4 linked regions of the Notamacropus eugenii genome follow. The protein of the gene in region 2 interacts with the protein of the main gene of each other region in a biochemical or structural test. Links are inferred from orthologs where the notes say so. Each region holds a gene or a part of one and is shown on either strand. Other genes may lie near its edges.

Region 1 (7,032 bases), on a different chromosome or scaffold from region 2:
TGTGTAGGAAACAGAATTTCGGATATTGCTTCCAACATTTCCCCCCTGAACCCCTTCTTTTTATACTTCCACATAATTCTGCAATATAACTCCAGGGATTGGAGCCCATTTTATAAATATACCTAGAGAGCTGTACAAATATAAGAGGTAGTTATTCTTCTTCTATCTCCTCCCTCCCATTCCTCCTTCACCAAGTACTTATCTCTGTGTATAAGAGATGCTCAGTTTTGGGCACTGACCAACTGGCTTTGCCTAGTGGTTATCAATACAACTTGAGATGTCGTCATCTTGGTCAGAAGGAAGGGATCACAGAAAGGAGAAATGTGAAGATTTTTTTGAAAAGCATTATTGCTCATTACTGACCCTGAATTTCAGAACTTGCAGTTAGAAGAGTCAAACAGTGGTGATTTTGAAAATTTTAGAATATTATACTCTGATTGCAAAGCAACAAAAGTGGACTGTTCAGCTCCCTGCAGTGAGACTCATTAAGCAAGAAGGCATCCTAAGTGTTCACTGAATAGCTGAGTAGGAAAGGACATCTGAAGCACTCTAGCCCATACTGATGAGGCAGCTAGAGTTCCTTGGTCTGGAATCAGGAAGACTCATCCTCATGAATTCAAATCCAGCCTCAGACACTTACCAGCTATGTGACCCTGGGCAAGTCACTTAACACTGTTTGCCTCAGTTTCGTGCCTTTGTAAAATGAGCTGGCAAAGGAAATGGCATACTGCTTCAGTATCTTTGCCAAGAAAACCCCAGACAGGTCACAAAGAGTTAGACATGACTGAAACAACCAAACAAGAACAACAGAAGTCCAGCTGGTAGCTGAACGATAGTCTTTTTACAGTATCCCTGACAAGTGGTCATCCTGGTTGGGAGCTCCCCATAGGAGCAGTCCATTTGTAATAGCATTAATTATTCAATTTTCTTCCTAGATTTCAAACCTAAACCTACCTCTTTGTAAACTGTGAATGTGGCTTTTAGTTCTGCCTCCCAGGGCCAAGGAGAACAAATCTCATTCTTCTCCTTGATTGTCGTTGTTTAATTGTTTCCAAAGAGTCATAACTCCTTACCGCCTTTTTGGTTTTTTTGTTTTTTTTGGCAAACATACTGGAGTGGTTTGTCATTTCTTTTTTCTCCTACTTTACAGTTCTTTAAATATCTGAACACAGCAATCATGTTTCCTGTAGGTATTCTTTTCACCACGTTACCATTTCTTTAGGTATTAGAAGTTTAAGTAGTAAGTGCACAAATTAATTTTGATAGACAAAAAATATATTCCACCTGTCTATCCATCTCTGTCTGTTTCTTTAGTCAGTTCTATTGAGTCCCGCATGGCTCCACTAGCGCCTTTTCAGGCCCTGGAACTACCTTATATTTGTTTTGAATCTGTTTCTATATACTTAAATGTGTATGTTTGAGAGGCAGGAAGATAACTGAAGAGAGAAAAATGACCTTGGAGGCAAAGGACTTGCCTCTACCACTGTCCACTTTCACTTGTGTGAAAGCCAAGTCACTTTAATTCTCTGGATGAAGGTTTCAGTTTTCCCATCTGTTTGTAATGGAGCAAGTAATGGCCAACAAGAACCCAGTCCTGGGATCATAATGTACCACACAGATGTTTGGTAAACCTATTTCTTTTCTTTTTAAATTAAAAATTATTTATTTTAATATTTTATTTGAAAATTATTTTTTATATTTATAGATATTTGCATTTAAAAATTTTTTTTGTTTCCAAATTCTTTCCTCCCTCCCACACCATCCCATACCTACTGAGAAAGCAAGAAGCATGGTATCCGTCATACATGTGAAATCATGTAAAACATAGGTGAGCCCATTCCTTAAAGTTTGTGGTGATGTGGAATAGAAGAGCCCAAGAACACATTGCAGGTGTTCTGTGACTACTTCTGGTCTGTTTACTTCATGATAGAGTTGAAGGGTTAGAGTTGGAGGAGCACATTTACTCTAACCCTAACCCTAAAAGGCCTTTTGGTTGGTTGCTGAGCCAGAACTAATTACGAATGCATATAAAAGACCCATTGGAGAAATTTTCTGTCTTTCCTTTCTTCCGGCCACAAGATATAAGGACAATTCTGAGCTCTGGAGGACCAATGGGGACCAGGATTCCTTTCTCTCCAATAGGCTGTCCCAAGAGTTCATGACCTCCCAGGAAAGCCTGTGTCTGGTATGGGACCATCTCCTTTGTGTGTCTTCTTTCCTTTGCTACAAAGCCTTGTGAGACTTTAAAATGGTGGAGGAATGGACATTCTTGTTGAAAATCTGTGCCAAAGTTTGCCTACGGCTGAACCTGGGGCACTTGTGTAGCCCTGGGGAATGTGCCTGCATGACCCAGCCAGCAGAACCTCAACCCAGTAGCCCAGACATTGTGACCTACAGAAAGGGAGTGACTCCTCTGGTGGCCAGCCCATAAGTGAACTTGCTGAGGTGACTGCTTTGAAGCAAACTCTTTAAGTCTGAGCCCACTCAACCGCGGGACTGAGGTAATGTAAACTGGAGAGTGAACTCCCAATTTGGGGGATGCTTTAGGACTTATGTTCTTGCTTTATCTTCACAGTAAATATCACTTTGTAAAAGCCGATTGAAGCTAATTGGTTAAACTAATAGTCGGGCTAACCAATGATATCGATAATATTCAGGAGATATTAACTGCCACTGGTCATTTATATTTTGGGGGGACACACTAGAATAGCATTAAAATATCTTCCCATCCCCTCAGGGATGAACGTTAAGAGGAGAAGATATAGCCTTATTATGGGGACCTGACCTGCCAGTGCAAGTGTAAACTGGGATAAGGACCCTGAGAGTTTATGTAGGCTACAAGTAAAATGAAGAAATTGAATTAAATGCCCTTTAAATCTATGAGGAATGAATGAGATGATGCCTTACCCATAGGCTTTTCTTCTGGCTATGTTAAATACAGGATTGAGTTTTCCCCGAGTGCATTGGAGAAGAGAAGGATTTAAGGGAGAAATAAAACTGACCAACAGAACTGTCTGTGTATTTGTCTGTGTATTTGTCCTTCATCCCTAGGATTTCCGTCTTTTCATCTCTTCCTCTGAGTTGCCCTGTTTTTCTTCAAGACTCAGCTCAAATCCCCCTTTCTGCGGACTTTTTCTAGTCCATCCAGCTACCAACACCCTCTCCTCTGAGATACCTTCTATCTGTTTTGTATTTCTCTTGTATGTACCTAGTTATTTACACGTTTGCTCTCTCACTAGACTATAAGTTCCCTGAAGGCAGGAACTATTTGTATCTTGTATCCATAGGCTTAACTTTGTGTTTGACATATAGTAAGAAATCATTTAATTAAGACTTAAGAAATACTTGTGAACTAACTGCATGCATACATCTGCAAATATGAGTATATCAGCATGAATGTGTTGGTGTGAGGTGTGTTTGTGAAAGTGAATTGAATCTGTATCTAAGAGAATGTGTCTGTGTGCACCTATAAGTGTGTGTTCAAAATGGTGTTCATCTGTGAGTGTGTGAGATCATATGTGTGTGTATAAGGGTCAGTTGCAGGTTGTAGGCAGCCTCTTCTTTCTAGCCACCACTTTCACTACCGAGACACCACTAGGGAGAGCATCTGTATGCCTGAGAGTCTGGGAGTGGGTGCTTATGAGAATGTGTAAACGTTTGTCCAAGCAGGGTGAGTGTTTGAATTGAAGAACTCACTCCAGGGTACACAGCTATGTCTGGAAATCTGCGCCTCTGTTAGTGTTATGGTGGTGGCATGTGTGAAAGTGTACCCACACCACACCGTTAGCCTCACATTACATCCCTGTTTAGGATTGCCTTGTACCCTTAGCCTTCCATCCAGAGCCAGAACAAGACTCAGCTAACTCTACAAGCTCCCTTAGGCAGCTCTGAAGGTACCAGCAATCCCCTGTAGGCAACCCGGCCTGCGTGTGAATGTGGGTTAGTGTGTGCGTGTGTGCGCGCGCGCGCGCGTGCTTGTAGGCATACATACATAGGCATACATACCTGCTCGGGTGTGGAAAGGAGCAAGCAGGTGGAGGCGCAACAGGAGGTTGCCCTGGTTTGAGTATAGCACGCTGACCAGTGGGGATGAGCAGTGGTGGGGAGAGTAGGTTTCGGAGCCGCTCCCAGCGCCCACCTTCTGCCACCAGAGCCACAGTCCATCGGTCCATTCTAATTCCTCCCACCCCCTTCCCAAAGCCAGCGCTGCCGCTGCGGCGCACACGCCTCTAAGAGCTACGCTTCCTGAAAAGGAGCTGCCTTAGCTCCCTCCCCCATTCTCCCCCCACCTCTGTTTTTTTTTTTTTTTGTTCTCCCCCTGTACCCTCCTTCTCTCCCTACACATCTCCGCTATAAACCGAGAGGACCGAGACTGTCCAGAGCAGAACTCAGCTAGCCCAAGCCTGCAGCTGAGAGGGGGAGCGCCAGCCTCGACACCTAGCCATCTGCCTGCGGACCCAGGAATCCTGCAGCCTGCAGAGCTCTGGAGCACCCAGTGGAGCCGAGGGGGCCCTTAAAGCACCATTTCCTCGGGGACAGAGCCTGGCCCGCAAGTTCAGGCCAGTGCATCGGATCCTGGCTGACTGATCCACTCGTCATCATTCTCTCTTCCTAAGGTGACCAGTTTGCCTCTCAGTCCCTTTGCATACCTCATCCACGTTCCTCCGGGGTCCCTTTGGTCTCTTTACGTATCCTTCTGCCTCGGTTTCTCCTGTTACCATTGTGTCTCTTTCCTCCAGCCCTCTTGTCTCCCCGGATCCCCTTTCCTCCTTTCCTATTCACTTTCTTCCTCCTATTTTCTCTTCCCCCTTTCTATTTCCATTCCCTTTTCAGCGTTTTATTAGCCTGGCTCCCAGCCAAGCCCTCCTGTCTCTGTGTTTTCCTGGGGTAGGGGTTATTGGGGGTGGGGGAGAAAGCCCAGGGTTTGAAGCCTAATTTCCAGAGGTGTGACAGCCTGCCTCAGCCATCTCCATCCCTCAGTATCTGGAGAGCCCATCTAAGGCAAATAGGGAGTTCACCTGAACTTTTTTGGAAGTAGGAAAAATATTGGTTGTGTACCACTCTGGAAGCCCAAGCTAAGGGTGTTGGGAGAATGTACTCTTCCTTCTCCAGCTCCACTTCCCAAAACCTACCTCCTCTCCCCCTCCCCTCCCGTTTCCCCAATACCCCCTTCCTCCTGAGCCTCTCTAAACGTGTGGAGCAGGTAGTTTTAAAGGACGCCAAGCCAAACCAAGGGGCGGGGGCGAATTTGGGGGCCAGTATTCCAGTGATTGGGGAGGGAGTTTTCTAGGAGAGGGGACCCGCCTGAGGGCAGGACCAGAACTAAGGCGAAAGAGAATTTGTGTAGAGGTGCAAAGTTAAAGGAGGGGAGAAAGAGAGAGAGAGTAGGAGAAAGAGGGAGAGAGAGGAAAGGAGAGATGGGGGCGGGAGGGAGAGAGGCAGGCCCTGAGGGCTGCGGCCTCTAGCTTGAGATCTTGCTGCTAAAACCTCCTTTCCTGAATTTGCTTCATCTCCATCTCCCCGAGACCTGCTCCTGCTCCTGCTCCTCCCGAAGGAGGAGACAAATTCTGAGGCAGAGGAGGGAGACTGGGAGAGGTCATAAGCAATTTGCGTAGGGGTCTATAATTCTATGGGGACACATAGAAATGGTGCAGCAGATGGGTGGGAGGGTCTGAGGACCAGAGTTCGAATGCTAATGCTGCTACTTACCGGCTGGATGATTTTGGACAAGTTTTTTTTTTTTTTTTCCTGAGTTTCCTCAGTTTCTTCATCTGTAAAATGGAGAGTGGAAGAGGTTGGACTATATCTCAGAGGTCCCTTCTAGCTCTAAATCCTGTGAAAAGAGGATTATGTATGTTATGGATTAATGGCATAGCACAAAATTTCATTTTATATTACACCTATTTGAATGTGTTTATTGCATGCTTCTGTTGACTCCATGAAAGCACAGGCCATTCTCCTTCACCTTTCTGCCTATCCCTACCTACCCACACCCACACAGTAGGCACTTAAGGGTTTAGCAAGCTGAACTGAAGATGAGTTTCATTTCTAACTCATTGAATATTAACTAGAGAACCAGTATAGGTTTAAAGGTGAGATTTTGATAGCACAGAATAGAATAGCCATGATACAGAACACATTTCAGAGATCCTTTTCTTTCTATAGAAAATACCACCAAGGAGGGTTAGAGGGCAGGAAAGGAATTACCCCAGACCCCCAGATGAGCACTATGCTAGAAATCAGGTCTCCTGACTGTTACTCCAGTTCTTTTTCTACTACAATATACTATAATCCTTTTCCTTCTATCTCCTCTCTCTTTTTCATTTTCCCTCTCCCTCTTTTAGCTCTCTCTTCTCCCCTCCTCTCTTTCTTCTGCCCTCCTCTCTTTCTTTGCCTGACCCTCCTCTCCCTTTTCTCTCCCCTCTTTTCTCTCTTTTGAGTCCTTTTCTCCTTTTTTCACTCCTTTTCTTTTTTCCCTCTTCTCCCACCCTCCCACCCTCCTTCTCTCCAGCATCCTCTTTCTTCTTGCTTCCTTCCCATCTCTTTTCATCCTCACAGCATCCCTTTTTTATCTCTTCTTTTATGTACCCCCACTTTCCTTCCTCTTCTTTCCATGCTCTTTCTTCATTCCTCCTCCTCTCTCCCATCCTTCTCTATCCATTTCCTCCCATCCTGATCCATCCCCTGACTTTTCTAATTCTGACCTCTCCTTATTCCTTCCCTCTGCTTTTCTCACTTGGAACTTCCTCTACATCTTGCCAATGGTCTCTACCGGTTGATTTATCGATTTAACATCTTGTTTGGGGGTTTAAAGGCATACACTTTTTTTTTTTTTGCATTATTGTGGCCTTTCCAATTTATTGTTTATTTTTGTAAACTCTCTTAAGACAAGGGCAAAGATGGTGCCTGTGCACCACACAGGGTTTGATAGTGCTACAATTAGGGAACATTTACTGCTTGCCCATTCACTAAATAGTTTTCAACTGCGGGAACCTGCCTATGACAGAAGCATCGTTCTGGGCTAGTCGCCTT
Region 2 (7,907 bases):
TGTCCAATTGTGTATCAGTTTTTGGACAATAGGCATTCTGCATCCATTTGGTTTATCTAATGCAGATAGTTAGGGTGAACTCTTAAGTGTTTATGGATATCTGAGACCCAGATCAGCCACTTGATTCTCCCAGGGTCTTTAGGCCAAGGGCTCCAAAAGAGGATGCTGCTGCCGCAGTGGCTGCTGCCACCCTGGGGCCAGGGCCAGATGCCACTCTCCTCTTATCCAGGTGAAAGAGTTTTCTTACTGACCTTTGAAGCTGTCTTTGGCATTTGTGGGTTCAGAAATTTGGGAACCACAGCTGCTGTCCATGATTCCATACCCTGAAGCCTGTTCCAGTCCTGTCCATGCTGCACTCTGAGGCTGGGGTGCACACTGTTCCACTTTGAGCCTGGTGCAATATGCCTTTCCTGTTGGCCTTCCAGGCTGTCTTGGGCTGGAAATCTCTTTCACTCTGTCATTTTGTGGCTTCTGCTGCTCTAGAATTTGTTTAGAGCCATTTTTTACAGGTATTTTATGGGCTACAGGGAAAGAGCTAAAGCAGGTCGGTCCTTCTACTCCACCATCTTGGTTCCATCCCCCTATGTTTGGTTTTGAAGGGACAAAGACAAAAACAAAACCATCTCTACCCTCAAAGAGTTTACATTCTCCTGCTGGGAAAATATGCACACAGATAAGTCAATATAAAATATATACAAAGTAAAAGTAGAAGAATTTTGTTGAGGGGAACTAACTGGGGAGATCAGGAAAAAAGGAGCATAGTATGAAAAAGAAACATCCAAGCCTCTGTTTTTTCTGCCATTATTAAGGATGAATATCTGGCCACTCCTTAACCTCCTTTCCTACATCTTTATCCAGATCATGCCCATAGGACTCTGACCTGAGCCTTCTTCTCTTCTCTCTCTATACTCCTTCACTTGATGATCTCTATGTTCATGATTCTCAAATCTACTTATCCAGGCCAAATGTCTCTTGTTAACTTCCAATCTCCCATCTCTAACTGCCTCTCAGACACCTTGAACTGGACATCCCATAAAAGTCTCAAACTCAACATGTCTAAAACTGAACTTATTATCTTCCTCCCTATACCCTCCCCTTTCCTAACTTCCTTATTACTATTGATGGCACTACTACCCTCCTAGCCCCCAGGTTTGCCACCTAGGCTTCATCCTCCACTCCTCACTCTCTCACCCCTATATCCAATCTATTGTCAAGGTTTGTCAATTTTTACCTTCATAACATCTCTTGTGCATACCGCTTTCTCTCCTATGACACTACTACCTCTATAGTACAGGTCCTTTCTACCTCATACCTCAGGCAGAAACTTGCTGGTTGGTTTCCCTGTCACAAGTCTCTCCTCACTCCAGTCCATCCTCCACTTTGCTCTCAGATCTTCCTAAGGTTTGACCAGTCTGAAGATGTCAACCCCTCCTGCCTCCATTTAATACAATCTAGTGGCTCCCCATCACATTCAAGATCAAATGTTAAATCCTCTGATATTCAAAGCCATTTATAACTTGCTCTCCTCCCACCTTTCCAATCCTTTTACACTTTATTACATACTCTTCTGTTCAGTGATACTGACCTCCTTGCTGTTCCTCCAAGATACTCCATCTTTCCATTTGCAAATTCTTCCTACACACCTTTTCTTCCTGTCTTCCTTGGCTTTCTTCAAATCCCAGCTAAAATCTCACCTTCTATACGAAGTCTTTCCTGACTCCCCCTTAATTCTAGTACCTTCTTTCTAATAACTGTAGCTTCCATAATCACTTAACCTAGGCCAACTCTAATTGTAGGGGGTTGTCTGGAGTCTGATTTCCTCAGAGTACTGGTCAGCCTGTTGGTGGATGGGGGTAGCAGTCTAGAGGAAGGCTGCCATGTTTAGTGTCTTGTCATTCAGGGCCACCTTCTCCTCCAACCCTGTAGAGCCAAGTGCCAGGCAGTATTCTTTCACAGCAAAATGGCCTCTGTAGTCAGACTCTTGCCATGTAATTCCCTCCCTCTTTTCTCCTGTTTTAATTTTGTTTTGTTTGCCACTGATGAATGTAGTCTTAGCTATAGCCCTTGCTAACACTTAGATTCTCCTTTATCATTGTGTAACAACTTTCCAATTTCAAAATAAGCTTTGACTTGAACTCAACTAAACAAAAATGTTTAGGGGAGAAGTATGAAGGAGAAAATGGCCATACAGTATAATATATTCATCATGTACCTTTACCTCTTTCCTCTTCCCTACTCAATCTCCCTGCAACTTTCTTTCCATGATTTGCTGCTGGTTTTAAAGGTACTGAACAAGTTGGCAAGATAACATAAATCAATCCAAGTCATCACTTGTACTTTGATATTTTAAAAAATCTGTAATTTTGAGTGTGTAGGTTCTCTATCAAGGCAGATCAAAACTCCTACCCTTTTGTGATCTTTATTAGAAGCTTTGGCAGAATTTATTTTTTATTCTGCTGCTGACAGTGACAAACTCCTCAGAACTTAATAAAGCTTGTTTTCAGAGAACAGATACATGCTGTTTCTGGACCCATAAGCAAAACTATCTTTGCAGAGCCTTCTAGAGCTTGCACCTTGCAAGCATGGCCATTGAGAACACAAGACAATCTGTACCTCATGAGGCTTAAGAATAAGACTTAAGTAGCACTCACTTCTCTACAGTTTCATTTTTATGGGTGCTGGTCAAATTATTATAATCCCTGTCCCAAAGCCCATTCGTACAAGATTCTCTCCTTATTGGTGGAGATGAAGGCCCTACCCTCCATGATGGACAAAGTGGAATTGGTGGGAGGCAGAGAGCTCCACATTTCAGTAATCCCTCTTCAGAACTCTTTAGAATCCATCCTCTCTGGGACTGGCCAAGCTTCAAGTCTTTGAGCATTAATTCCTCTCAGGTACTCCTAGCTTCCAGGAATAAATTCTGGAAACACATGAGTAGAGCTTGCATTTCCCTATCTCCAGCTAGCTATACTAGAGGTTTGGGGGAATTATCTCTTCAGTGAGATAAAACACATTCTTGGTTGGGTTATTTCACTCCCAAAGACAAAGCCCCTTCATTCTCAATTGTGTGCTGTATATTATTTGTATACCTTCTGCTTTGCTGTGCTTTGAATAAATGAGTTCCTTTGCTATTTTCTGTGTTTTCACTGGGAAACTGGTATTTGGTGAAGAAGGGGTCAGGCCCTGAATATAGATCTTAGAGTCCTTCTTCCCCCCAAAACGACAAAGTGATCAGATACTTCTAACCTGGTACTCCCTGTCTTTGAAGATAGTAGATTAGCGTCTTCTGGCCCGAACATTTTGCTTCCCTTCCTGGAAGGAATTAAAGTAGGAGAAGAGGCTAGAGATGTTTGTTCTGAATACTTTGAGCCATACAACAGTCCTCTCCATAGGTTGGCCTTACATATCTGCGACATTACAATATCCTTTTCTTCAATTTCTCTTCTATGCTTTTACTCCCCCTCCCTCTACTACCTACATACTAATATTGACTAATATTTGTAAAAATTAAGGTAACATCCATATATGACATTCATTTCTCCATAAGTTAGGGACTGGACCTGTGATTTCATTGGTAAGAACAGTTTCTGGGTGAGGAAACTACTACTGGTGCAGGTCAGCATGTTCTGTCTAATTTATAATCTTAGTTGCCTCAGAATACTGAGGAAATTGAGTCACATGCAGAGTCATGCAGCCAGCATGAGTCACTAGAGGGACCGAACTCAGCTCTTCTTGGCTTGGAGGCCAACTCTCTACCCACTGTATACCACATTACCACTCCTGCGATTTTATAATCAAACTGCCTGGGCCTCAAAAAAACAAGTCAGGGTTGGGGAAATGATTCGTTCACAAGTAGTGTCTAAATTACTTTGTTTCTGAAACTAAAGGAAAGGATAAACTCTCCCAAGTTTTGTTTTATTGTAGTGTACAGAGGGATAACTTTAACACGTTTTCCTTTAAGGATGGGCTCATCTGTCCCCCTCCTGAAAACCAAACCAAAGCTGCGCTGCACATTCTAAAAAGTGCTGCCAGAGTGGGAGGCAGATGCGGGCCAGCGGCAAACGCCCTCTTCGGAATCGGAGGAATGAAGTCCAAATACCAGCTCCGCGACTTCCCGTCGAAGCATATCTGGCACCACGGGGGCTGTCAGTTTCCACATCCGAGAAGAAGCGGGGAAGGGGGTGGGCAGGGTCTCTCAAGTCCCCTTCACTTCCGTGGTTCTTGGGCTCGCCCATAGCCGGCCCCGAAGGGTCTCGGCTCCGCTTGGGGATCACCGGCAGCGCAGCCTTCGCGGGCTGTCTGTCCTGGGCCGATGCTCCCTCTCCTGCAGCCCTCGAGCCCGCGCGGCGCATTCCCGGGGCTTCCAGGTACTAAGAGCCCACTCTGCGCCGCCCGAAGGGAAGCATGGGGATGGGCTGGAAAAGATGCAAAGGATGCTCGGCAGATGTCCAACAGGCTAACAAACTGAAGCTCCCTGGGGAGAACACCTGGCCGGGAGAAGAGGCGTGACGACGTCAGGATAGGACAAAAAAAAAAAAAAAAAAACCAAAACACGTGTCTACCGCGCACGCGCAGAAGGTACTTCATCGCTCTAGCCTCGGCGCCCCCTTCTGCCCTACCACTTTGGGATCTGACAGAGGAAGAGATGGACGGAAGCTACTCTCCTACGCGACGTGGACACTGTCGCTCTTCCTCCATGCCTTCCCACGTAGACAGTGACGCGCTCAACACCTCCAACTCTTGCGTTGAGTTCTCATCCCGCAACTTGCCAGTACCCAAGATGGCCACGGAGAGGCTGGGCCCTGTCAGAAGCCTATCACAGGCTAGGGGCTGACCTTTGCCCCTCCCCACTCCTCCCTCTCCGGCGCCAGTGGCGGATTGCTTCTGCGCGTGCGCAAAGGGGACGGGGGAGGGGGGTGGGGGGGTGCGACTCCGACCCGCGGTCTAGCCAGTTCCTCCTCCGTAGCTGCTTCAACCTCTGCTTCATCCCTTTGCCACCCTTAGAGCTGGGTTCCCATCGTTACCTGCGCGAGGGGCCAGGGACGCAGGACCGGCAGCGGCGCGCTCGCGGAGCGCTCGGTCCCGGCTGTTCCCCTCCCGCGGGCAGGTGGCCGGGTCGGCGGGAGAGGCGAGGGGCAGGCCCTCAACAGCGCCATGTCGGCGGGCGGCCCGTGCTCGGCGGGGCCCGGAGGGGTCTCCGGGGGTGCCTCCTGCGCCTCAGGGGTGCCCCCCGGGGGGGTGTCGATGTTCCGATGGTTGGAGGTGCTGGAGAAGGAGTTTGACAAGGCCTTCGTGGACGTGGACCTCCTCCTGGGCGAGATCGACCCGGACCAGGCGGACATCACTTACGAGGGACGCCAGAAGATGACCAGCCTGAGCTCCTGCTTCGCGCAGCTCTGCCACAAGGCGCAGACCGTGTCCCAGATTAATCACAAGCTGGAGGTGAGCCCGGAGGAGGGGTGGCGGGGGCTCGCTCCCGGCGGGGAGGCCGAGGCAGACGCCTGGGGGCGGCCGCCAAAGCCACTACGGGTACGACTCCCTTTCCCCCGTAAGAAGAGGCGATTCCCCCAGCTCCTTTCCTGAACGCTGGGACTTGGCGTGAGGGCGATGCCTTAGTCCTGCTCCCCCTGCTCCTTACCCCCCATCCCAGCACTGGAGGTTCTTCCATCAGATTAGCAGCTTTGCTTCTTGATAGACTCTTGATTCTTTTTCAGGTGGGTAGCTTTTTTCTTCAGTACCTGAGCTGTTCGGTGGAATTTGATCAGATCTGTGGAGACAAATGAGTTTGGAGAGGGGATCGCTTTCCTTAATTATAGATAGCAGAGTGGTTCTGTTTATAGACAGGTTTTAAGTTACCTCAGTTGCTTGGAACGGCCCTTCAGCAGTGGGTTTTATTTGTGAAGCTTTTCCGAGCCCCTTACTGCTTTCCTTCCGAGATTATTTCTAAGTCATCCTATAAATAGTTTGTCCCCAGAAATCTTAATGCAATTAAAAGCTTTAGTAGCTTTTTCAAGTCTTAGTGCAGTTTTAAGTTACCAAACCTTTAGTATCTTAAAAATGTACTAAAATTTTGGGGATACTCTATATATCTCTTTTGTATATAGTTATTGGAATGTTGTCTCCTCTATCAGATTTTGTAAGCTCCTTGAGAACAGGGACTTTTAAAAAGCCATTCCTTGTATTTCCAACGTTTAACAGAGTGCCTTGCACATAGGTGCTTCTTAAATGGCATATCAGTTTATTTACTTGACATGCCCTAATTCTTAAAAGCTGGGTTCCGGGTAAGTAAAGAATGCTCAGACTTTGATCTTCTTGTGACTTTCTAGGGGCAGAAATATTTACACAACACCACAGGTACAAAATAATTCAAATTACAACATTTTCACAGTACTACAGAGTTAATAAATAAAAGGGTTTCATGAAAGAAAGTTTCCACCTTAGGTTTTATAAGGAAAGAATTAGACCTGTCCTTTTAAAGTAGGAAAGAGGGAGGGGGGAATATTGAAATTAGGACAGAGGGATTAGGTGGGAAAAAACTATGGTAATAGCTTTCAGTTCCACAGTAATAATGTTACAGGTAAAAGTAATTAGGATGTATTTTTTATTAAGAAATTATTACTATTGATCCAGACTTTTGGGTTCTTACTTGTCACATAATTTGGGTGACTTCTCATGAAAGGGTAAAGGTTCTGTGTTTTATTAATTGGTAAATCCTGAAAGAAAAATTGTGTACTTAATCTTTGGTTAGCCAACTATTGCATTCTAAAATTTTCATCTTGAAACTTTTTCCTGAATTTTCATTGACAGCTTATCCCTTCCCAAAAAATCTGGTAGGAAACTGATGGTGAAAATACCTTTTGATTTCTTGGGTTTTAATGTTTTCTTGGGTTCTTTTGTGCAATTCAACAAATACTTGTAAATTTTTCTCTTTTTTGGCATTTGCATTTGGATGTGTTTCTGACACTTTTGTGGGTGGTGTTTATTATGATCCTGTATTATGACAGAAAGGAAATCTAACTTGAACTGAGACTTAATTAGATCTCTGAATAAACATATTTTTGTATTAGAACAGATTTTATTTTCTCTTAAAAACTTGGATAACCAAACACTTAAACAGTGATAACTTAAATGTCAAATTAAGATACTAATTTTGTAGAAGGGGAATCATTGTGTGAGTGGGAGGTGGTTTTCAGTTACCTTCATCTTTATCCATTCCAAATGAATGTTAAAAGTAGTCATAAATTATTCAAAGTTGCTCTCTTTTCTCAAATTACATATTCTAACTTCAAATTCTTTCGTAGGAGGCTGTATTTTTTAATGTAAAAATAAAATAACATTTCTTTCTTGAATTTTTTTTCACGTTTGTTCTACTACTACAAATGTTGGCAGTCCTTGTTTTAGATGAACTCCATAGTAAATGGAAGAAAAATAGGCTGTCATTTTTAGGTGGGATATATTCGGGAAAAGTTGCCCAACACTTCTGAAATATTAGCAAATCTTACAAGTTTAGCAAATAATGCAGTTTTCATTAATAGGAACTCTTAGTTGTGCGTACAGAGAAGAAAAAAGCATCACTATCAGCAAGTACTTTTCAGAGTTTACCACAAGGTAGCCATTGTATTTCCAGTCTTCTGAATACTTAGAAAATATCATCATCCTATTTTGATACATACTTTCTGTTCCTCATATGACATGGTTTTTGAGTACATCACCATTCTGGATTTTTTTTTTCCTCTGGATACTCTCCAGCTTGTTAATATCTTTTTAAAAATGACGTACCCAGGAATGAACACAATATTCCAGGTATTATCTGACCACTGCTGATTATGGTGGGATTTATGTTTATGTTTGATTACTTCCCTTGTTCAGGACACTCTCTGTCTATTAATGCATCTTAAGATTTCCTT
Region 3 (6,849 bases), about 150 Mb from region 2:
TTTGTCCATGTAATAAACTGGGTATCCAAAGGTCTCAGGTAAGCACTATAGAATTAGCGATCTCATCAATGCTTTTCTCTCCATCTCTGTTGACTGAAACCAGTCAGGAGCAGTGGGGAGGCATTCAGTACCCTTCCATTATCGTTCCTCAGGGATATTTGAAGAAATCACTGGAGAATTTAGAGCTGAAAGAATTCAGAATGGGTTTCCTAAAAATATAGGTGTTTCTCAGAGGTATCACATGACACAAGCACTAATTAAATCCTTTATAGGCCATAAAACAATAAATATCATAGTAAATAGAATCATGGTGAATAGGAATTCACATGGTAGAAAAGGGATATTTTAATGGATAATTCTTAATCTTGAGTCACAGGATGAAGGAACCAAGGGTAACCTTGCAGCAAAACTTCTAAAGTTACCAAAAGGTATCACCATTCCCCACTGAGTTTCCCAGGGAAGGATAGATTCTGGCTAGATGGCTAGCCCCCACCGAGAGGACAGCAATATCTTGTGAATCTCAGCATCAGCTCATACCCCATGACAGGTTACATGCAAGAGGTCTATGATCTCTTAGCTATCATGATACAAATGACCAGGACCTGTGATAGGGCTTGGCAATGGTATAGGAGACATCATCTGCTGCAAATCTGATGCAAATTTGTGTTGCTTTTGGCCAGCAGAGTTGTTTTTACAACAGGAGACCTACTTTGAATTGTCCCTAATGTTTCCTCTACTTTATGAATTGTAGCTTTGAGAAGATTGTATTGATTCGTGTTTTTATTATTTGTGTTAAGCTTTTCCTCCAGTGCTAATTATGTTGTTGTTTTAACATTGTTTTAGTGAAGTAATATCTCCTAGAAAAACTTGGGGACCTCAACATGAAGGAGTGAGAATTCGTAGAATCAGGGCTTCTTTTTTGTAGTCTGGTCTGGTTTTCCTTCAAGGAGGTTAGGAAGCTATTCTCAGTGTCATCATTAGCTTAGCTTCCTTGCCACCCAAAGCACAAAATAGCCCAGGGATAGGGAACCTGCAGCCTTGAGACCACATGTGGCCCTCTTGGTCCTCAAACTTGGCCCTTTGATTGAATTCAAACAATACCACCTACATTCCAAGGTTTTTATGAAGATCAAATGAGCAATATTTAGAAATGTTATTTAAAATACTTGTAAATATTATTAAAATTGTAATCTCGTAAAAATTTGTAAAAATTTAGCACGAAGTCTGATACATAGTAGGCTCTGTATAAATGCTTATTCCTGTCCCTTTTCTTCCATTACCTTATCTTCCTTTTCCTTCCCTTTCCTTCATCAGTTCTTCCCAAAGATCTGACCATGTCATTCCTCTACTGAACAAATTCCCAAGGTTCCTTGTGACTGCTAGAATCATATTTAAACTGTTTAGCTTTTAAAGTCCTTCACAGTCTGGCCCAAGTCTAACTTTCCAGACTCGTTGAACTAAACTGCTTTCCACGTTTTCTGCAATCTAACCAAAATGGCTTTTTCAGCGTTTTTCAACCACAGAACTTTATGTCCCTTCTTTTGCCTTTTCATCAACTATCTCCCATTGCTGGGATGCTTTCCCTCCTCACCTCTACCTCATACAGTCCTTCTCTTTCTTCAAGATGAAGTCTTCCTAATCCACCACCACCACTACTATGTGCTCCCTCCCAAACATCTTTGTATTTAACTCTTTGGTATTCATTTTGTCTATATGTACATGTATACTTTTATGTAAATAAGTTTCTTGTCTCCTTTTGTTGCTCAGTCCTTTTCAGTTGTGTCCAACTCTTCATGATCCCACTTGGGGTTTTCTTGGCAAAAATAATGTAGCAGCTTGCCATTTTTTTCTCCAGTTCTTTTTACAGATGAGGAAACTGAGGCAAACAGAATGAAGTGATTTGGCCAGAGTCACACAGCTAGTAAGTGTCTGAGGCCAGATTTGAACTCAGGAAGATGAATCTTCCTGGCTCCAGGCTTGGCTCTTTTGAGCACCATGGCACCTTGCTGCTCTCTTGTCTCCTCAGCTAACATGTAAGCTCCTTGACTATTTCATTCTTTTAATTTATACCCCCAGCATCAACACAGGGCCTGCCCATAATAAATGCCTTTGGTTGACTGGTTGATTTTGAAGGTGATTTGAGATTATCTTTTTATTAAAAATTGATTTAAAAAAGATTTATTGATGCCTTTTGCCTATTTTTTTCAGATATAGACCATCCTCAACCCATGTGAACCCTCCCTTGTAACAAGAAACAGTTAAGCCAAATTGACACAAGGACTAAATCCTACAGTGCATTTAATGTTCCCCTGAATTGAGTCTTGAATGAAGTGGTGGAGGAAAACTCAGGATAGCCAAGGTATAAGTTTGATTAGGATTGTAATATCCCTTACCTTTTGAACATGCTCGTTCTGGATGACTCTTTCTTTTCCTCCTCTCCACTGCTTCTCCACTGTCCCCCCATCTCCTTTCCCATTCAAACTTATCCTTCAAGGCTCAGCCAAAATGACATCTCCTCCAAGAAGCCTTCTCTGATTCCCTCCCTTCTTGCTCCAGCCGGAAGTGATCTCTCCTTACCACTGTATCTCTTTCATGGAGCATCCTATTTTGCCTTGTAAAATGGCTGTCCATGCTCATGCCACCTCCCCTATAAGATGGTAAGCTTCTCAAGAGTAGGGACCCCATTTTATTTATCTTTGTACTTTTCCTCAGCACTTGCACTATGGTTGATACAACGAAATTTTGCTGAATAAAATTGAAGATGGATCCAGGAACCAAATCTCTAGCCCCAGGAAGTGAGCTCAAAGTTCTGTCTTGTATACCAAAGCTGTATCTAGAGATCTGGGGGCTGGGGTGACAGACGGTCATCCTGGTGCTGGGCAGCAAGGATGGGTAACAAGGGCTAAGGAGCCTGGATTCCAATGTTGCCGTTATCTTTCTCTCCCCACTGGCCAAGGGAAAACGGCACAACCTCCTGCTGGGGTCTGGGTGGAGGGTGTGTGTGGGGTGTTATCCTGTAAATGAGGGAACTGTCTCTGAAACATAGAACGGCTATGGAGGAGTGAAGAGTAGATGCTAGAAAGAGCAGGGAGTGCCCATACCCTACCACTCAGGCCTAGAGTTGTAGACCCCCTTAGGGAATGGCAAAGAAAGGAGAGATGAAAGGGCTGAAGCGGAGGAGGGGTTGTGGGGGGATGGGTCGGGAAACACCCAGATGCAATCCTGAGCTTCCAAAACTACTGCTAGCCTTCCCTCACTCTCCAGCAGGGTGCCCAGGAAGCGGTGGTGGAGGGGCACCTTCCACAGACCACCTCACCCCTCCCGCCTTCGTCCTTCCAATCAGACTCACTCTGTGTCCCAGAAGTATGTCTCTCCTGATCTCCCCCCTCCCCACGTCCCGTAAGTCTCTTTCTTCAGCAGCCTTTCCAAGAAGCGAGTGGAAGAGGGGTTCTTAGTCTTCTCTCCCCTCCCCTCCCCACCCTCTCGCCCCAGTCCCAATCTCTAGGCTCTTCTCGGACTGCTGTCCCTGAAGCTGGCGGCGCAGGAGCCGCGCTCAACTCACTGCTGCAAACTGAGAGGGGGGCAGGGAAAAGGGGTCAGCGATTAGCCAGGCAGGGTGGAGGGGTGAGGGGGAAGCGCTAGAAGGGAAGGGACAGGCAGGGAGCGCGAGTGGAGAAAGAGGGAAGGAGGAGGAAAGGGGCAGAGGGAGGAGGAGGGAGGGAAGGGGGAAGGAGAGAGGAGGAAAAGGGAGAGGAGAGGAGGAGGTGGGGAGGAGAGAGAAAAAGGCAAGAAAGGACAGGGAGGAGGAGGAGGAAAAGGAGGAGGAGGAGAGAGGTGGCGGGGGCGATGCGGGGTTCCTGACTGCCAGGCGCAGGCTAGACGAGTGCCCTCCCTTAAGAACTGGGCGGGAAGTGGCCGTGGGGACCCGGCTTAGGAAGAAGAGAGGTGGCGCTGCCGGAGGGAACCGGGAGCGGAGCTGGGGGCGGATGGGAGAAGGAGCCGGTTGTTGGCAGCAGATGTGACCGAGCTGCGGGCTGCCCGCCGGGGACGGAGCCCGAGAGCCGGGCGGGCAGTGCCTCCTTCTAAAGGAGCACCTGGCGCTCCGCTCTCTCTCCTCCCCTGCGATCCCCTGCCAGCGCCGCGATCCCCTGCCTCTCCTTACCCTGCTCTCCCCCCAATCCCTCTGGGCTCCCACTCTCAGAGGCTGGGGCTGCCTCCCTCCCCTACCCGCCACGCTACCTCGGGCTTTCCCCCGCAGCTCTCTAGCAAGCAAGCGCCCTAGCCCGAGCTTGGCCGTGCCCTTCTGGGGAATGTGCCAGTAAGCCAGGTATCCAGGGCCCCCAGAGAACCCCCAGGATGGGACGCCGCCCTCACCTCTTGGTCATCCAGGTAAGAATATGGGCGGGCAAAGAGACCCTTCCACTTGCACCAATCCCTCCCATCCCCCCCAACACCCCAGTGGTAGCGGGGGAGACCGGGAGCTGTGTGCGCAGAGGAGCGGGGGCGCAGGATTGACCCTCTCCAGCCCGGGGCCAGGGGCCCGGGCTGGTTTGGGAACGACCCAGGACTACCAAAGACGGCTTTAATGTCCCTGGGGGAAGTCAAACTCTTCAGAACGGACGGTTTTCCGGGGAAATGGGTGGGGAGGACTCAGGTTGGGGCTGGGAGAACGCTTCCCGGAATCCGCAGTGCCAAAGATTCCCTTCCTCAAGCTTCAGAGTGCCGGGGTGATTACCAAATCAGGGGTTGAGTCCCCATTTCCCCCTCCTCTACCTGCCCTCGCCCCCGCTGACCATTCTGTCTGGGTTGGGCTTCGATAGTTCAACGCTTTGGAGGTAAGGTTCTCGCCTGTTTTTTTCCTTAAACACCTTCCTTAGATTCTACCTCCTCCTTCCCCCCTTTTAGGCCGCCCAATGGCTCCTTTTCCCTTTGCAGAAATCTGCATGTCTATGGAGATAAATCTCTCCCGCTCCTCCGAGCGCTTGGATTCATAGAACAATGTTCCCCCGCCTAATTGAGGTGTCTGATGTTCGGTCCTCTTCTCCTGCTAGCCTCCTGACTGGCCGTGCTTGAGCCGGGTCCGAGAGTGGGAGCTTTTTTTTTTTTCCGCTGGAACTAGGAGCCAGAAACCGCTCGGTCTTGAGTCTAACGTCTAGCGAGGATATACCAGCTCCTAGAGTTTAGGAAAGTCACCAATAAATCCACCAATTTTTGTCTAAAGTAGTTCAGTGGCAGACAGATCACTCCCTCATCCCAAACCAGGTACCAATCTTCAATCAGGGAGGAAAGCATATTTTTAGGGTCCAGGATGGAGTCTCACACCCTGTAAACGAGTGAATTCTGGCATCTATTTTTTGTGAGGCTTATTCTCCAATGCACACACAGATAAATTACTTTAACTGATTTCTAGATTGTTTTTTGGGAGGGAGGAGTGCTTTTTATTTATGTGTATGTGTGAATCTTGAAAGTGCTGAATTTTTAAAAAATGATTGAGTGATCCCACAATGCTAAATCACCCATTTGATTTTTTTTTTTACTTTTCAAATAGTTGTTGAACCTTTGTCTTGTCTTTTGTTTCTCTGTATACACAGAGGTGTGTGAATCAAATCATCTCCTTTGAAAACTAGCAGTTTAATTCAAGTTGTCTATAACAGAATGTTTAAAAAATAATAATGAGTTTGACTGAAATAAGCCTCACTCCCCACCCCACTCCGAAAGCCCTTGTAATACAGCTTTCTTTTAACCAAGACAGTGAGAAAAGTGTTGGATTTGGATCAGAAAGAAAAACCTGGGCTCCAGTCTGGTTGTCCTATCTTTGTGGTCTCTGGCAATCAATTAAAAAAAGAATCCTACAGATATTTATTTAGCATCTACTATGGGCTAGACACTGCACTTGATATACAAGGACAGTAGTCATACAGTTCCTGGCCTCCTGGGGCTTATGGTATTGAGGGGGCAGAGAGAGGGAGAGACAACATGCATATATACATATATGTACATATGTGTACTTGGTATTATTTTATACCAGATATATAGATGGAGGAGACACTAGAAGCTGGGGGGGGGGGGGAGGGAAACTTCAGTGTGACACTTGAGTTGGGGTTTGAAAAGGAGTCAGAAAGTAAGAGGGAGTAAACCCCAGGCATGGAGGAGATAGTCCCCTCCAAAGGCACTAGAGATGGAAGGTAGAAAACTGCGAGTAAGGAACAAGAGGAGGGGCAATCTGGCTGGAGAGTGAAATTCCTGGAGGATAGTAATATGTAATGAGTCCAGATTGGGACCAGGCTGCAAAAGAGCTTTAAGTGCCAGAGTTTATATCTGACCCTGGAAGTGTAAACAGTCAGAAGAGATGGGCTGAAGTTTGAGTGTAGAAGTGACTTGGAGACTTATGCAAAGGGGAAAATCATTGTGGCACCAGAGACGTGATAGATGGATTGGAGAGGTGAGAAATGTAAGAGAGGTTACTGAAATAGTACAGGGAGGGGTGATGAAAGACTATTGTGGAAGTTGTATGAACAGAGAGAAGGGAACAGATCACTCTCTCTCCCCGGACCTCAGTTTCTTCATCTCAAAAATGAGGATGTTGGACCAGATGACCAAAAAGGGCCTTTCAGCACTAAATCTTATAATCAAGAAAGTGTGGGAGTGGGGGGGGAGTGAGGGATAGGAGAGGGAGCATGGTAAAAAGAAAAAATCTCAATAGATCAATGAAGAATGAATGAGGGAGGGAGGAGTAACTAAGTAAGGAAGTGAGAGGATTTCATTTCTATTTTCAGCTTTTGTTTGAAACTATTCTAATATAAACTTTAAACACACACGCTTCCCCTACCATTACTCCATCTCCTAAGA
Region 4 (7,805 bases), on a different chromosome or scaffold from region 2:
TGCTGGTGGGTCTGCCTGCCTCCAGTCTCTCCTCACTCCAATCCATCCTGCATTCAACCACTAAAGTGATTTTCTTAAAGCTCAGTTCTGACCATGTCACACCTCCTCAACCCCCTACTCAATAAATGCCAATGATTTCCTATCACCTCTAGGATCAAATATAAATCTTCTATTCAGAGGTGTCTAGAATCCTTTCATAACCTTCTCCCACCCCTTCCCTTCCAGTCTTCTCTAACACCTTATTTCCTGTCACGTATTTTTCAATCCAGTGACACTGGTGTCTACCATTCTATGAACAAGACACCCCATCTCTTGGCTCTGAGCATTTTTGCGGGCTGGCTCCTGCATCTGGACTGCTTTCCCTTCTCAACTCTGCCTGTTGGCTCCTCTGGCTTCCTTTAAATCTCAACTAAAATCTCATTTTTTACAGGAAGTTCCTTTTTTCTATCAATTATTTCTTATCTATCCTGGGACCTTCTCCAGTGGGACTGATCTATATCTAGCCATTAGACACAGAAGGCTCTGGAGGAAAAAGTGAGGCTGGTGACTCTGCACAGCCCTGCTCCACTTAAATCCAATTCACTTGCAGGTCATGGTATCACCTTCCTGATGTCATGGCCCTCTGACAACAAAGGGCAAATGACAACAAAAGCAATCTTATCTACCCTGTGTATAGCTTGTTTGTACTTTTTTTTTTTCTTTTCTGTCTTCCTCATTAGATTGTGGCAGACTGTCTTTTGCCTTTCTTTGTATCCCCAGCACTTAGTAGATACTTAAATGCTAATTAACTGACTTGCCCAGGATCACACAGGCAATATATATCAGAGACAGAATTTGAACTCAGATCCTCAGGACTCTAAGGCCAGCTCTCTATCCACTATACCATGCTGCCTCTCTATATAAAACATATATGAGATAATTGAAGGGAGGTGTGAGGGGTGAAGGGAGTAGAATGTTAGTGCTTGGTGCATAGTAGAGTTGGTATTTTGAACCGGCTTTGCTTCCAAGTCTAACACTCTAAACGCTACACCACAGGATTCTATTAACCTTTGGGCCAGATGGAGGAAGGAAAAGATGGCAGCTTCTTTGCCCCTTTTGTGGGGTGGAAGTCTGCTCATGCTCCCTTTCCTCTCCATGTGCTCATTTGCACTTTATATCCCAAAGACTGGCATTTGTCAGTTTCATCCATCAGCCTCTCCAGTTGCTTCTTCCATCAATGACCTGATCTTCCTTTCCTCTTGTTGGCTTCCATTCCTCCTCAAACTTAAGACTCACAGGGGATGAGCAGGTTGCTTAAAGTCCTACAGGTAGTAAGTAGCAAAGTCATAATTAGAACTTGTGTTCTCTGATTCCAAATCCAGTAGTACTTCTCCTGGCTTGAGGAGAATGTATGTATACAGGTTTGGAGGTAAGTCTTTCCCTCTCCCTTTCAATTCATTCATAGGGGATTCCCAGGAGCTGGTTCCAGATATAAGAGGGAATACATGGACCCTGAGGAGGAGAGCTGGAGATACCAGGGTTGCATGGAGACCTGCTGAAAATCCTGCACATCTAGGTGTCCCCTACAGACAGCCATGGGCCTTGAGGAGCCAGTATGTGACTGAGACCCTGAGACCCTGATGGAGTCACATGGGGAGAGTGAGTCCTGTAGGGTATTGCATCCCTCAGACCCTGAAGGGATGAACCCTGGATGAAAGCAGTGTGGCGGAGAACCAGGGTAGAAAGAGTAGCATAGGCAAGAAAATGTGCACTTGGGGAACAATCCAGATCTATTCCAATCATCTGAACTATATAAATTTGGGGGTAGGTGGGAAGAAAGATTCCCTAGCATCCTCAAATTCTTTCCCCCGAGAGAGATGTTTGCTTATTTATGAGGGCAGGTATTAGCTCTTTCTGTATTTTTGATGTAAAAATAAAATCTTTTCAGTATTTGATGTTGTTAGCCTAAGTGCTTTCAGAGGAGCTAAGGGCCTTTGGGGGAAATCAAAATGAGCCAGAGACTGACATTTTCAGGATTTCTTTGAAGGGGATATAAGCCAGAGAAATTACATTTGGAAAACCCCTAGAAATAGTACCCATATCCTTTTATCAGGGAAACTGCCTTGACCCTAAGATTACATATGTCTTATCCTAACTAGGGGATAAATGGCTGCTTCAAGATCATTTTAGGAGAAAGCCAGGATGATCCCACAAAGAGGCTCCATCCTTCCCTTTTTCCTTACCCTCAGCAACATGGCCTCTTCCCTTAAAGTCAAGCCAAGTAGACTCTAATCAGGGACTTCCCAAAGTAACTTGGTGTGCCATGAGCAGAAGCAATCATGGTCCCAGATGCTTGTCGGAGACCAACCAGCACAGAGATATTGCAAGGGGAGCTAGCTGAAAGAACTAAAAGTCCCTATTCTCCCCTCATCTCATCAACAAGAAGGAGGGGGAGGAGATGAAGGAGAAGGAAGAGGAGGATGAAAAGGAGAATTCTAGAATGTCATACCTGACAGGGATTTTAGAACACAGATTGTCAAAGCTAGAAGGAACTTTAGAACACAGACTTTCAGAGCTGGAAGAGATCCTAGAACATAGACTGTCAGAGCTAGAAACAACTTTGGAACACAGAATGTCAAAGCTGGAAGGGACCTTAGAATACAGAATAATAATTTGGAAGCAACCATAGAAGATAATAAAAGCTGATATGTATATAGTGTTTGGCAGACATTATCAGACCTGATCCTCAGATGAGGAAACGACTTACCCACGGTTGCCCAGTATCTGAGACAAGATTTGGATGCAGGGCTTCCAAAGTCCAGAACTCTATCCATTATGCCCTAATGATTCTAGAATTAGAGGGGCTCTTAGAATTGAACGTCAACCCTGAGGAATGGACTTCAGAATATGGTATATCCAAGTTTACAGGGAACTCTGAACCTAGACAATGGAACATAAAATCTTCATGAAGGGAGAGACCTTAGAACATAACATATCAGAACTAAAGGGACCCTTGGAACATAGAATGTTAGAATATAGAAGGCCAAAGCTAGAAGGGACTTTAGAACCTAGAACCAGAGCTGGAAGAGATTTTAGAAGAGAAATATGTCAGACTCAGAGGACACTTAGAATACAGATCGTTAGAACACAGAATGTCAGAATCGAAAGTGCTGTCATTTTGTTGCCAGGCTAAGACCAGAATCCTCACTGTCCCCTCCTCAAATGAATCTTCTAAGTCACAAAGAGAAATCACAGTTTCCTGTAGCTTAAAAAAAAAATACATCTGAGGCCATCACTGTGAGAAGACAACACATTGTTTCTGGGAGGGGAGGAGGCTCCTGGGAAGATGACTAAGAGCTAACTTTTCTCTCTGGCTTTTGGAACTGAGTGTGATAGGATATAATGAGCAGTGAGGATACTGGACAGGGAATCCAGGGATCTGGATTCTAGTCCCACCCCTTTTCTTGCCTTGTTGTATGACCTTGATCAAATTGTTTCAACTCTCTTCAGTTTCATCTGTAAGATGTTGGGTTAGCTCATTTCAAAGGTCTCTTCCTGCCCTTGTCAGGGTCCAGATTTTAAGATCCCTTTAATTCAGCTAGACATTTGTAAATGGTATTCTATGTGCAATATACAGGGTCAGAGGATGGCTTAGCATTACCACTCTCCTTTCTGACCTTCTATGTGTGTGCTAGGGTTCTAATTCCTGCTCTCACATTCCAGAAGGGAGTAGGTTTAGAGTCAAAGGGGGCTCGACCCTCTTCATTTTACGAATGAGGAAATGAAAACCAAAGAGGTCAAATGACTTGTCCAAAGTAGAGTTGTAATTGGACTTCAGGTCTTTGACTCCAAAACCAGTACCTGACAGGGACTTTAAAGGGACTCTGTCCACTTTAACTTTCAATTAAGGTACCTTCCAGGTCAAGTATTCTTTGTGCTCATTAATGACCCTGTCTTTGGTACTCTTTTATGTTCTAAAGTTCTTTCCTGCTGGAAAGTTCCATGTTCTAATAATGTCCCCTATAGCTTGGACATTCTTTGTTCTAAGATCCCATCCAATTCTAACAGGCTATGTTTTAATGGTGGGATGTTTTAAGACTTGGAATAAGTACCCACTCTCTCTCATCCTCCACCTCACCCAGTCTTGAGGAAAGATGCAGGTCTTGCCAATTTTTTACCAGGGGAGTAGGGGAAGGATTGTCCCCCAGGAGAGATTATATACCAGGACTAGTAGGGAGGGTGGGGGCAGGGGTGAACCCTGAATCCCTACTGCTCCTCTACCACAGAGGCCACAGACTTCTCTGAACAGGACAACTTGTGGACCCCTCTCCGAGGAAAGGAGTCACTTCAGGGACAGGATGGGTGAAAGGAGGGATGACACCCAAGATCCCAGTCTCAGACTCTTATCTGGGTTCCCCAACCTCACTCTTGGCCTGAGAGCTTTTTGATGGGGGGCCCTTGGACAAAAGCGTCCACATCTGGAACAGAAGCTCCCCAGATATGCTGAAGGGGGGAGGGGAGAGAATGGCCCCAGAGGCGGGGCAGTGCAAGGGTTAATGGGGCTGTGGTGGTGAAGGAGGAGAGCGATCTGGGGACCCCCAAAGGAGCAGGGGCCAGGGCCGAGAGGGACCGGGAACGTGCATGGGAGTGGGAGGGGAAGATCACTCCGGGAATGCGGCGCCCGGGTGGGGATGGGGGGAAGCGGCGGAGGGGGAGGGGCGAGGGCGTGGCCCAAGCTCCCCGCGGCCGCAGGTAGCCAATGGAGCGGCGGGTCCGGCGGCGGCGGCGGCGCCCCGCCCCCTGGGGCAGCGCGGACGGAGGGAGTAAGAAGTGCAGGAGCGGTGCGTGGGGTACTGGGCTCGGGGCGCGGGGCGCGGGAGCCGGAACCGGAGCCGCGCCAGCCCGGAGGGCCGCCGGCACGATGCCGCTCGCCCAGCTCGGGGAGCCCTGGCCGCTCACCGAGCTGCTTCCACTGGATCCCGAGGTGAGCGGGGCTGGGTGTCCCGGACTCTTGTGTCCCGGGGCTGCGGCGGGCGGGACCTCCCGGGATCCGGCCTGGGCTGGGCAGGCTACAATGGGAGCCCCCAGCCAGGGGCAGACAAAGACGGCGCTGCAGCTGGGGCAGGGGGAGGAACAGCTGGATCTCCCCCTGACCCCTCCCCCCGACCCCCCACTCAAGCAGCATCGCTCTTCCCTCCGCACCTCACGAGCCACCCGGAGCTGCCCTCTCCCGGAGAAACCCAGAGCTAAGGGGAGAAATCTGCCCTTAAGACACGCCCCTCCATCCCGTGCGGCTCCCCCGGCCAGAGAGTCCAGGGGAGAGTCCGTCTGGGCGGCTCCCTGGGGCCAGGTGAGGGAAGAGAGGAGAAGGGGTGCCCAGAGCTGGAGTTTGAGCCTTCTATGTGTGTTGGGGAGGGGAGGGCTGTGAGAGAGCTGATCGAGTCCTGGGAGACCTGCCCCACCCCTCATACTCACACACTTTGGGGGAGGGGGGCGTCGCTCCAGCAGGAGCTCTCCTGAACTCCCCCAGTACCACCAGGTAGGAGTAGGAATGCCCGGATGCCAGAGTGCTGGCATGAGCTATGGAACCGTCGATCCAGTAGTTTTACTCTTCTGGCTTTAGCCTGTTCCCAAACAGGTCTCTATTCTACTCGTTCCCGGCTGCAGCTGGCCGCCCAAGGGCTTGTTCTCCCCATCCTGGGGAGGCGCCTGATCTCTGCCATATCAGGCTACTCCTCTTGGCAAGGCTGCTCCAATTAAGTCCCCCCTGAACCAGGGGATGTCCTTATGGGTCCCAGGAACATTGCCAGTGCCTGTTTCCGGCCAGTGGTTCCTATGATCCTCCCTGCAGGGGCCAGATTTAGAGACCTGTCACCTCAGGGAGGAGGGCACCTTGTTTCTAAGTTTTACCTCCAACTTACTCTATCTTCCAGAGTAGGGGAGATGAAGTCCTTGGGCCCCTTTAAGGTGACTTTTGAGAGCTCAATTTGGACACGATCTGTGCTTCTCTAGGGCTGGGGTAAGTGAGGGCTGAGGAGAAGAACACCCAGGGCTAGTAAAACATAAGATCTTAGGTCCAGAACTAGGAATATAGCCTTTCTACTACCACCACCACCCTTACCTGAGGGCACAGTATTGGCTTCTACCCCTCCCTCCTGTTTCTGGAAAAAAGGCAGGCTTTCCTGGGGTATCTCTCCTTCCCCTCTTCCCAACTTAAGAGGCAGCTTTTGTCCCAGTCCTTCTGCTAGAGGTTAGCCCAACTTGGAGAGGACTTGGGCACCAAAGCCTTAGTCCCCAGGTACTGTTGCCTAGCTGGGCTCAGGCTAAGAACTGGATCACCACCAAGCTTGATGCTCTGGGGAAGCTGGGTGAACAGGCCCTGGGCCCTAATTCCCAAAAGAGCGGAGCAGGAAGAGATATCCTCCTGGCTGCTGCCCTGGCACGTAGGGCCCAGGGGCCCAGATCACCTGCCTATCCCTGCATGTACTTCAGTGGGCACCTTAGCAGGTATGATCCCTAGTTCTTCGAGTTCAGGTCTAGGCCTGAGGGAAGTGCTGAGTGCCCCCCCCCAGGTCATCCAGAGGGGTCCCTTGGCCCCCAGTGTGGCTGGCTGCTGCTGGGCCTTTAAAGGGGGTGGCAAGAGATTTGGGGGTGGGCCTTGTAGGGGGATTAGGTAACAGCCCTGAAGGAGCAATTTGAAGTAAATTGTCCTGGGATTCTTGCCATGAAGTTTTACAGGCCCAGTATCACCGTCCCGCTGACTCACCGGCTCCTGAGGAGAGGTGAGGAGCTGGGGCTGGCCTTGTTTCTGCTCCTTTCTCTCACCATGCTGGGGGGAGGGGAACAGGTCCCAGGGAGCAGAGGTGCCAGGGTGGGGCACGCCAGGCCAAGGGAGATGGATAAGGTTCCTGCCTCGGATTGATCTTTGTACTTCTCCTAAGGGACCCAGGAGTCCTGACATATATAAAGGGAAGCCCTTTACATTCACTTTCAGGGACAGGGGAAGGACAAGGACTGGCTAAGAGGGGGAGATGGCACAGTGTCTAGCCTTGAGGTTGTGCTGGCAGGGAAGGGCTCCTGGTCTCAGCACAGGGCTCAAGCTTTCCACCCCCATCCCCCACTCTAACTTCTTTAAGGAATCTTGCTCAGAGATCAAGCTCTTGCCAGAAACTCCACGTTAAGGTCCCAACTTGGGGATGGCTTGCTTTGAAAGGGGAGTAACATGGGCAAAATGGTGGCAGAGTTAGCCATCCCTTTGGGTGCAGGGACTCTCTCCCTGCATCCCCATACATTGAGTGGTGGTAGGGAAAAGGCGGAGTGGAGAATTCATGTAGAATTGGTGGGGGGAGCTAGGAGATAGCCCTACAGTGAGTTAGGAGACTTGGGTCCTAATGCCAACTCTGCCAATAACTAGATTATCTCGCTATTGAGGGGTGATGAATATAACAAAGGACCTTCATTCAAATCCTGCTTCCTCATCTATAAAATGAGGGCATTGGACTAGGTGACTTCCAGGGCCTCTTGCTGATCTCAGTCTGTGATTCCACTACCAAGTCATTTTTCTGGGCTTTGCTTTCCCCCTGTATAGAATCAAGGGCTTGAGCCCTGCCAGTTTTATTATCAACAGTTTTATAACTTGGGTTCTCTTTCTCACTTTCTCTTTAATGCACAAGGTAATCTTCAGCCAGTCACTCTGCTTCTGTTTCTGTTTCTTTTGAGAGGGTTGGGGTCTTATCAGCCAAGGCCAGGACCCCTCTTCTCACCTTCTCTCAGGAGCATTAGGGATGGCCATCCCAGTCAGATATGGGGCCGGCCTTGGGACAAAG

The links.
Region 1: the proteins of GOPC (region 2) and SSTR5 form a complex in vitro, tested with the Homo sapiens proteins (2 studies listed by BioGRID and IntAct, with this or other methods). The link is inferred for Notamacropus eugenii from reciprocal best matches to the Homo sapiens genes GOPC and SSTR5.
Region 3: the proteins of GOPC (region 2) and CRHR1 form a complex in vitro, tested with the Homo sapiens proteins (2 studies listed by BioGRID and IntAct, with this or other methods). The link is inferred for Notamacropus eugenii from reciprocal best matches to the Homo sapiens genes GOPC and CRHR1.
Region 4: the proteins of GOPC (region 2) and RPS6KA1 interact in a test that uses a peptide from one of them, tested with the Homo sapiens proteins (2 studies listed by BioGRID and IntAct, with this or other methods). The link is inferred for Notamacropus eugenii from reciprocal best matches to the Homo sapiens genes GOPC and RPS6KA1.

What each region holds. Positions count from the first base shown.
Region 1 is NC_092872.1:51,440,313-51,447,344, reverse strand, and holds the start of SSTR5 (somatostatin receptor type 5), read left to right. Parts: upstream 1-4,026; 5' UTR 4,027-4,616; intron 4,617-7,032.
Region 2 is NC_092873.1:199,300,993-199,308,899, reverse strand, and holds the start of GOPC (Golgi-associated PDZ and coiled-coil motif-containing protein), read left to right. Parts: upstream 1-4,896; 5' UTR 4,897-5,154; coding exon 5,155-5,442; intron 5,443-7,907.
Region 3 is NC_092873.1:347,228,474-347,235,322, reverse strand, and holds the start of CRHR1 (corticotropin-releasing factor receptor 1), read left to right. Parts: upstream 1-3,828; 5' UTR 3,829-4,356; coding exon 4,357-4,389; intron 4,390-6,849.
Region 4 is NC_092876.1:67,581,777-67,589,581, forward strand, and holds the start of RPS6KA1 (ribosomal protein S6 kinase alpha-1), read left to right. Parts: upstream 1-4,800; 5' UTR 4,801-4,900; coding exon 4,901-4,963; intron 4,964-7,805. UniProt on the Homo sapiens protein: Serine/threonine-protein kinase that acts downstream of ERK (MAPK1/ERK2 and MAPK3/ERK1) signaling and mediates mitogenic and stress-induced activation of the transcription factors CREB1, ETV1/ER81 and NR4A1/NUR77, regulates translation through RPS6 and EIF4B phosphorylation, and mediates cellular proliferation, survival, and differentiation by modulating mTOR signaling and repressing pro-apoptotic function of BAD and DAPK1.